Yarrowia lipolytica: one gene and its partner. The protein of the gene in region 1 purifies or fractionates together with the protein of each later gene. This does not show direct contact. Links are inferred from orthologs where the notes say so. Each region holds a gene or a part of one and is shown on either strand. Other genes may lie near its edges.

Region 1 (5,127 bases):
GATCCATGACCCAGGGTCGGGGTAGCTTCACAATGGAGGTGGATCAGTACGAGGCAGTTACTCCCGACAAGATCCAGCCCATTGTCGACAGCATTTTTGCTTAGTCATGGAATGAGCTGTTTGAGGACAGAGACATAGTCGATTGGTGTATATAGAGATTGGATTGTATATATGAATTTTTAATAGGAACAAAAAAACCTGTGAGTACACAACTACGCTTATGTACTTGTACAATATTCAAAAAAAACACGCAAAAAAAACCATACCGTCGCAATCCGAGAGGACAAAAAGTTGTTGATCAGCTTTGAGAAGCCACCGGAATCAAACCGGCTAATGTTCCTCCACTGTCATTAACATGACATGGACAGGAATTGAACCTGCAACCCTTCGATTACAACCAAGTTGACTGGAGTCGAAAGCTCTACCATTGAGCCACCACATCAACAACTTTAAAAACGGTGTTTTTTTGGGTCTGGTCTACGTTGTATGATTAGTAATATGGGAAAACGGTGGGAAAAAAAAGAGGTTGAAATGAGATTTTGAGCAGATATAGATGTCCAAATGGTGCCAAATTACTCTTCTATTGCCTTAATAATTGGTATTTGTTCCCTTTTAACGTTCTAGCGATCACCGTTAAGAAACAAATGTACTTCCTTGCTTCAATGATAAAGGCAGTCCAGCATCGGCTTTTTTTCCCTAACATGTGTCGATCGACTGATACCGTTGTATTATGACGGCTATCCAACACATATCTTATCTTTCGGGATGAATATTATCGTTATACGTGCCTTGAGTATCTGTAAACTACTGTATATAGTCAAGTTGTTGCGTTCATACGCTCAGTTCATGTCTCAAATTGCGCCTCTGACATGTGCTACGGGCGTGTTAACGCTGCGTCTTTATTCCGGCTGCGTTAGCTCCGCCTGGCTCATGTATAGAATGAGCGAGTACGAGAATGGAGGGGTTGTGGACCGACCGTGAGTGGAGAAACATGTGTCACGTGAGTCAAGCTGCCGAGCTTGGTACGACTACGAGTGCAAGTGCGACAAGTCGCGGCTGGAATGCTCCAAATATATTGGTGCACATTTTTCCACCTTGCTCATGCATGTCAGAGTTACTTATGTGAGGCGGTTATCTCCATCTGGGCCGCTACAAGACGGAGTGAAACAGCGTCGACGCAAGAATTGGGAGCTGGAAAACTTTGGAGCGAATTCTAACCAACTGGCAGTCGCCAGAAACGCGTCGAAACACCAGACAGGTGTCAAATCTGGTTCTCAAAAGACACATGGCTGGCTTTGACCAACCTTCAACTTTATCAGACGGGCCCATCCGAAGCAAGTTTAGGATAGAGCAAGGAGGGCGGGGGATATGTTAAACGGGGTGTTGGGGACACTTTTGACGGAATTGGAGCGGATAGAAGTAATCTCCATAGCTCAATGAATTGATTCCGACTCTTGCGAGCAAAATCCGCCCGCTACTTCCCGCAGTAACGGGCCCCCTTATTTTCACCCCTGCGTAAGGCACGTGATGGAAATTCGCGCTTAGGTTAACGTTGCCGAGCTGCGTGTCGTGTAAATAGAGAGAGCTGAAATTATCTCACCACGGCCTGTTCAACCACCATGGAGGAAATCAAAAACCTGAAAAACATTGGGCGAAAAATCCGGCCCAAGGAGAGCCAGCAGAAGCTCGGCGAGCTGATTCGGCCCAAAGAGAAGGATATGAAGGGTGAGTAGGCGTCCGTAGACGCTGAGAGGGTAGGAAGATATTGAGAACAATATATCAAGACCTGGATGTCAGTCATTCGCCATATTAACCCAGGATTGACACAATTCATTGCGGATCTGAGAAATGCACGGGCTCGGGAAATGGAAGAGAAACGAGTGAACCAGGAGCTGGCCAACATCCGACAAAAGTTCACGGACCCCAATCTCAGCGGCTACCAAAAGAAAAAGTACGTGGGCAAGCTGCTGTACATTTACATTTTGGGCTACAAGGTGGACTTTGGCCACCTGGAGTGTGTCAAGCTCATCAACTCGACGAAATTGAGCGAGAAACAAATGGGATACATTGCGCTGTCGGTGCTCATCAATGAGGATCACGAACTGGTGCATATGGTGATCAACTCTGTGCAGAAAGACCTGGATGGTATGGACGAGATGCACAACTGTCTGGCGCTTCATCTGGTGGCTACGGTGGGTAGCGAGATGATGGGCAGCGAGCTAAACCACGACGTGTACAAACTGCTGATTTCGCCTACCAGTTCGACCTTTGTGAGGAAGAAGGCTTCTTTGGCGCTGCTACGACTGTTCCGAAAGAACCCCAATATTGTGGAGCCCCAATGGTACGACCGAATCATTGCTCTGATTGACGATCCGGACCTTGGAGTGGCTACCTCAGTCTGTTCTCTGGCTATTGCTTTGGTTCAACACGACCCAGAGGCCTGTGCAACTTCCCATATCCGAGTAGTCAGACGACTCTACGACCTGTGTGTCAACAACCAGGCGCCCAGAGACTATATTTATTACGGAGTCCAGTCGCCGTGGTTGCTAGTGAAGATGCTCAAGCTCCTGCAATATTACCCTCCTCCGGATGCTGCAAACGAGACTACCACCGACATGCTGCGCCAGACTGTGCTCGAAACTGTGGATAAGTGCTCCCAACCCGCCCAGAGCTCGCAACAAAGTAACGCCCAGCATGCCGTCTTGTTTGAGGCTATCAACCTGTGTATTCATATGGACATGGCTCCCGATGCAAAGCTGCTGTCTATCCTAGGCGATTTTATTTCGTCAAAGGAGACAAACTTAAGATACCTGGCCCTCACAGCCCTGGCCCGTCTGGCTGCTCGATACGAGGTCTCGTCGCAAATGTCGGAAAACAGTGCACTTCCTGTCAAAAAGTTTCTCATTACGGTGCTTGGAAACCTCAAGGACAAGGACATTTCTATCCGACGAAAGTCTCTGGATGTGCTCTACTGTGTCTGTGACTCGTCCAACGTCAAGACTATCGTCGCCGAGCTGCTTAGATACCTTGTTACTGCTGACTTCGCCATCAGAGAAGAAATGGTCATCAAGATTGCCGTTCTGGTTGAAAAATATGCAACTGAATACAAGTGGTATGTGGACATTTCGCTCAAGCTGATTGCTGTTGCCGGGGCACACGTGTCCGAAGAAGTTTGGCAGCGAGTCGTTCAGATTGTCGTCAACAACGAGTCTCTCCAGCAGTACGCCAGTCAGACTCTCAACACTTATCTCGCGCAGCCCCAGTGTCAGGAATGCATGGTCAAGACCGGAGCATACGTCTTGGGCGAGTATGGAGACCTGCTAACAGAAGTCCAGCCCATCCAGCTCTTCTACAACCTGCATTCGCATTTCAGACAGGTGTCTGCGCCCACCAAGGCTATGTTGCTGTCTACCTACATCAAGCTGGCTAACATGTTCCCAGACATCAAACCGCATATCTCACGAGTTCTCACGGCGTACACTTCCAGTGCGGACTCTGAGATTCAACAACGAGCCATTGAGTACGTGTCAATCATCCAGAAACCGGAGCTTCTGAAGACTATCTGCGATGAGATGCCTCCATTCGAAGGCCGAACGTCTGCTTTGCTTTCTAGATTGCATGCTCGAGAACTTACCTCTCAGGACCAGCGTTCCTGGGGTCTGGGCAAGTCTGGAAAGTCCGAGGTTGACGCCATTCGGTCCAAGAGCATCATGCGAAAGAACAGCCAGATTTCTTCGTCCAACAGATCGGATTCTGCGTCTCCCTTTGGTGACGAAAATAACGTGACTACCGGAAACAAGACCACCCCCCCTCCCCCTCCTTCAAGAGGCGTTTCCCACTCCGGCCTGTCGCCCAACTGGGATCTGGGCTTCTACGATCTGTGCATCAAGGACGAAGGCACCTTCTTCAAGGACCCTGTCATGCAGGTGGGTCTCAAGTCCGAATACAGAAAGAACCTGGGTTGTGTAATTCTGTACTTTGTCAACAACTCGGGCACCAAGATCTCATCTCTGTCGTGTGAAATCACAAACAAGGAGCCTGACAACCTGACGGTGTCCACCAAGAACTTCCCGGACTCGTCCATCGAGCCCAACAAGCAGACCCAGCAGGTTATTATCCTCAACTGCCACAAACCCTTCACCTCGTCGCCCACCATCAAGATTACGTACATGGCTGGAACCCTCAAGGTGCTGCATCTCAAGCTGCCTATTGTCATTTCCAAGTTCATGACCGCCAGCCAGGTGTCCACAGGTGACTTCCAGAACCGATGGAACCAGCTGGCAGACAAGGAAAGTCGGCGTATCTTCAAGCCCCAGGATATCTCCAAGTCTGCCAACCCTGCTCATAACCTCAAGGTCATGAAGGGCTTTGGATGGTCCATTGATGCTCAGCAGAGCACTCGGGACGCCATCTACGGCGCAGGAGTACTCTACACATCTGTCAGTGGCAACTTTGGACTGCTGGGGTGTCTTCAAAAGCTGCAGGGCAATCAGTTTAGCATCACCATTCGAGGCACCAATGCGGTCTTGCCCGCCATTGTGGGCAAGTGTATGAGCGATTATTACCAGGACATTATGTAGGCATAGGGAAATAACACAGCGTAATATAGAATGAATGAATGAATGATTTATTAATGATATCGTGAGTGTTATACCTGGAAGCAGTGGTTGTATGTACTGCTGTGTCACATGGCCTAACCGTCCCAGAAGAGGTTGAATTCCCGGCACTGGCACTGGGATGAACTGAACAGGAGGAGTACATCGGAGTGCACATTCTGTCAGGGCTGTACAAGTACAGTACACCCATACTTAGTTACTGTACTTTGACTCTATTTGTACTCGTACTACCGATGTATGTACTTGCAGTCAAGTGAGCAGGGGCTCATTGAGTGTTTCTACTGTACGGGTACCGCACATACAGTACAATTGACAATTGCCCCAGAAACACCCCAACACCACCACTATGAAGTGTGCTCCATCTACCTCGGCTACTGGTAACTGCCATGCATCTAAGCGTCGTGGAGCACTAATTTCACAGCAGCAAGTCGCTTGTCTTACTCGTGTTGAGTGAACACCCTCATCACCTGTCTCAGCTCGAAAGCTAAAAGATGGCGACAAGAGAGGGACG
Region 2 (4,387 bases), about 820 kb from region 1:
CTCTGGTTAGGTCTTCTCTGGTTCACCTGGTAAAGACCATCTCAATGGTGTCTACTCTCGAGTAACTGGCGAGGGATGAAGACAACACGGGGTACACTCACTCCAGATCATTGAATAACTGGAGAATTGTGGGGACGAGAATCTGTTGCAACTTCCAACCCTCACTCTGACCGAAACCCAGCGGCGAACGACTCGGCGCTCCCGAAAGCTGACTGTAGGTACCACCGGAAGACAAGGAAGTAGGGGAAGTGAAAGCAAGGATCACAATGCTGAAACTGGCCCAAAAAGTGCTGGGCATTCAGCCAGCGAAACTAGATATCAGGTGCTCTGGTTTTCTCCAAGTTTCGGTGCAAATTTTCTGAACGTTAGTGTCGTTTCTGTTGCTGACTGTCCAATGCAGCTGTTTTGTCTAGGCGCGATGGCCTACGTGAATTGTAGGTAGATGTATCGCACATCGTCGGTCGTCAACTATTCGCCAGAGTGCCAGTATTACTCCACTCCTTCACGTCAGTCAATCCATATTGTCCATTTTGTTAAATTACATCCATACTCCTCCATCAAAATCTAATCTCGTAGCTTCCACCCTTCATCAAGTATCGTACCCACTTAACGGTGTTGTAATTGCTCTTCTCAAACACCTTGAGGTACCTCACCACCAGACCGGAGCACGTGATCATGGTGATTTCAAAGTCCATCGAAATGGGCGGCTTGTTCCACGGCGTCTTCTCCGTGGTAAATGTGAGTTCGGCTGTGGCTCGGAGAGAAATCTCAGAGCCTCCACTGATACGCGACACCTTCCACACAATCTGGTTGGTCGACGAGTCGTACTTCGCCTTGCCGTTGGATGCGTTGATGGTGGTTTTTGCCGCGTTTCGAGGCGTGGGAATGTTGATGACGACGTTGGTAGCTGTCTGCTGCTTGGGGAAGTTCGCCTTGATAACGATATCGTATTCGACTCGTGACTTTCCGACAATCTGCACACTGGGGACCACCTTGAACGGGATGCTTAGGTTCTCCACGCACTTGTAATGCATGAGCTCAAATTCACCATCTGGAGGCACAAAATTGATCGACCGGTCGTGGTCAAAGTTATTCAGCTTGACACAGTGGTGGAAAACACAGTCCTGTAGACCCACAGAGCCGGTGGGGGCAGTGGAGCCACGTCTGCCACCTCGCTTGGACGATCTAGGGTCGTCCTCGTCGTGCTCCTGGTCGAGACGAAGAGTATCGTTCAGTCCAAAAGTGCATTCTGGCACTCCACTGAGTTGCGACTTCATGTGAATGGTTCCATCGACATTAGCAACAAGCACAGAGCCGGTGGGCGAAATGAGTAGGTTGACCTTCTCGACAACATCCACGAACATTTCGTTTCGGTGATGCTTGACGTTGTCTCGTCTCCAGGGAGTGGCACCTGTGATTTGCGAGGTGATGGTCTTGGACCGTTTGAGAGCCTTCATGGATTTCGATCTACTCAGGGCGTCGGGAACAGACACAGACACGGCGCTGGAGCCAGACTCGCTGCCACTTCGCTTGGCCTCCGTCTGAATATACTGCTTCAGCATATCCATCTCTGTGTTTTGGGGAAGGCCAAAGTCGATCATCTCGTCAAGCAGTTCGTAGACCAGAGTGAAGTTCTCCTTGACGCTCTGCTCGTTGAAAGAGCCAAAGTAGGATTTGCCGAGGGCGACAATCTTGTAGAGGAACTCAAACACCATGCCGGCATCCACGTTCGACCGGTTCACCGCAACGACATACATGTCCTCGGACTTGCAGTGCATGAAGGAGGTTGAACCAATGGTAAGAATCGGTGATCGTACCTGGGTTAGTAGTGAAAGGGATGGTGGCTGTAATCGCGAGTTGAAATGGGTGAGAATCGATCTTCATGCCGGAACGAAGCATGAGATACGACTGAGAGCACTCCATATAAAGGTAGGGTGGCTGAAAGAGTGGTAGCAGCTGGACATATATCTGGTTTTGCTGTAGATGTCACTCGTTGTCTCGGTGTCGCATAAGGAAGCGGAGCCAGAAGAAATCGAATCATGAGGGATCACGCTGAGTTTTTGAGCTAGTTGAACTAGTCGTGAGATGAGCAGAACTATGCCCAAGTCAGATACGTTGCTGAAACAGTATAGCTTGTGCTTCGTGAGCTTAGTAGCAGTTGTAGAATCGATATCACCGTATGGTTGCAAGGCGTAGTAAAGGGACTCAATCTCTGCCCCAATGGCGGTTTTCCTCTCAAGAAGAATGTCCTCTCTCACACACGTCCTTCATCGTCCTCTAAGAGAGCATAGACATGGCACAAAAGAGAACAGACCATCATAAAACAATCATAATGACCACACTTTCCCTGTCAACACCTATCCAGCTGTTAGCAGTCAGAGTCAACCTCTATTAATCCCTCCAGCTCAATCTCCTGAGCATTCGCGTCACCACACGGTCACTGGTCGCGTGATGGTCGCAATTTTCATCATAGCAACTCATACACGGCCATGAGCCTTCCATTGCAACATTCCCTCAGTCGCCCAGTCGCCCCCATCAATTTCGTGCTCCAATCCTCCTCCCTTCGGTACTCACCTCGGGATTACTAATGACCTGAATTCGAAAGACATCGGCAATGCTTCTCCGCAACCCGTCGCGGTAGAGACGCGAGATCAGCACCTCGCCCTTCTGGTTGTACAGTAGAATAGCCGAAATCATGGTCAGATGGCGGGCAACACGTAAGCTCGTGACAATTAGCGCATGCACGATATGCACCCCTGCGTGTCTGACTAAGCATAGTGACTAAGCTTGATGATTAAGCTTGATGATTAAGCTTGATGATTAAGCATGTAGGTTATGTGAAGGAAAATCTCTAGATTTGTTCTATTGTTTTCACGTGATTTGAAATTACAAATGAAATACAGATGTACAATACAATGCACCTAATGCATGTTCTAGTGTTGTCGACAGGCAACGGGCCATGGTATCTTGGATATCCCAGATTCATGGCCACTCACATTTCCCATATCCATCTATTCAACTTACTTAGTCCGTTAGTATAATCATGACTCACCACTCAAGAATCATATCGCCAAAGGGCTTGCTCTCATGCAGCTCTCGAACAAGTCCGTTGACGTTACTGAGATACTTGCCTAGCATGATCTGCTTGTCCTCGGTCGTCAGGCGGTACACATTGTCTCTCAACATGGTCTGTCGGTACAGAGTCTTGGATTTGTCCACGTTCTGCCTGGTCTGAGTCTCGGGGATGAGGTAGAAGAAGAGAAACTCGAGGATCTTGAGCTTCACGTCCTTGGGAGTCTCCTTTCGCTTGAACAGCGTGCAGATGGTGGCCAGGCCTCCCATGTGTTCAAACAGTCGGATGTTGGGCACTTCACGCAGCAAACAAGCGACCAGCGCTCGAATCGTCACGTCAACGGCCTGGGGGGTTCCAAGCAGCTTGATGAACAGGCCCATGTTGTTTTCGGTGGCAAAGATGCGCCGACTGGGTTGATGCAGCAAAAGAGCTCCTCGAAGGAGATCGATGGCAAAGGGGAGATGCTGGATGGTGTCTGCGCTGGTAAGCATGCGTTCAATGGTCGTCACGAGGTTAGATGCCACATTATACTCGAACGACTCCTGCAACTGCGAGTACTCCTCGAAGTTGGAGCATAGATCAATGTTGGACGTCTGTCGAGCAGCTCGAACCAGACTCTTGAAAATCGATCGGATTTGCTGCAGACCGGCGTATATCCGCTTGGGCGACGACGACGTTGTGTTTGTAATCGCCGTGGAAAGAGAGCTCTCCATGATGAAAGGTCTGTCCATGGCTGGTGGACAATCGCTGTGGGTGCTGCGTACAAGTGTGTCCAAATGGTGTGTTCAAATGGTGTGTTCAAATGGTATGACCAAATGGTATGTAGCAAGTTTGGTACCGATGGGTGATGTTTTGGGGCAGTCTAAGACAATGTTGCAGTCGTGTGCGGATCTCTGTTTTGCTATGTTTGACGTTGGTCGGGAATGTTGATGTTTCTCCCAATTAGGCAGGTTGCCTGCCGATACCACTGTTGTGCATGTTAGACGCAGGGCAGACCAGCCTCCGCGCAGTTGCCAGTTCGAAGCCGGGCAGCGTAGTGGATAAAGCGGCATGAAACATGGGGCTTTAAGGAGCCGGCGTCAAGTTGCAAGTCTCGTTGCACGTTTCGTGTAGTACTGCTGACTTGAAGAAAGTGTTTAGTCAGTGGCAGATCACATGACAAAGAAACCTTGTTTTGACAGTTCAGGAAAGATGCGCGTCGACTGACAGTGTGTTCGATTCGAGCCTTTGGAGGGTAATAAGTGCGGATTTGAGGAAGGGTTGGTTGGATCCGGCAAATCTGGTAATTGCAATGTTTTTTTTTTTTTTTTTTTT

The links.
Region 2: the proteins of YALI1_C25829g (region 1) and YALI1_C17680g purify together in Saccharomyces cerevisiae (affinity purification with mass spectrometry, with the first as the bait; 4 studies listed by BioGRID). This does not show direct contact. The link is inferred for Yarrowia lipolytica from reciprocal best matches to the Saccharomyces cerevisiae genes APL3 and APM4.

What each region holds. Positions count from the first base shown.
Region 1 is NC_090772.1:2,581,322-2,586,448, forward strand, and holds YALI1_C25829g (uncharacterized protein), read left to right. Parts: upstream 1-1,619; coding exon 1,620-1,725; intron 1,726-1,818; coding exon 1,819-4,580; downstream 4,581-5,127. Other genes in the region: YALI1_C25789g (uncharacterized protein), read left to right, coding at 1-104. UniProt on the Saccharomyces cerevisiae protein: Adaptins are components of the adaptor complexes which link clathrin to receptors in coated vesicles. Clathrin-associated protein complexes are believed to interact with the cytoplasmic tails of membrane proteins, leading to their selection and concentration.
Region 2 is NC_090772.1:1,766,220-1,770,606, forward strand, and holds YALI1_C17680g (uncharacterized protein), read right to left. Parts: upstream 2,698-4,387; coding exon 2,575-2,697; intron 1,818-2,574; coding exon 558-1,817; downstream 1-557. Other genes in the region: YALI1_C17700g (uncharacterized protein), read right to left, coding at 3,049-3,804. UniProt on the Saccharomyces cerevisiae protein: Component of the adaptor complexes which link clathrin to receptors in coated vesicles. Clathrin-associated protein complexes are believed to interact with the cytoplasmic tails of membrane proteins, leading to their selection and concentration.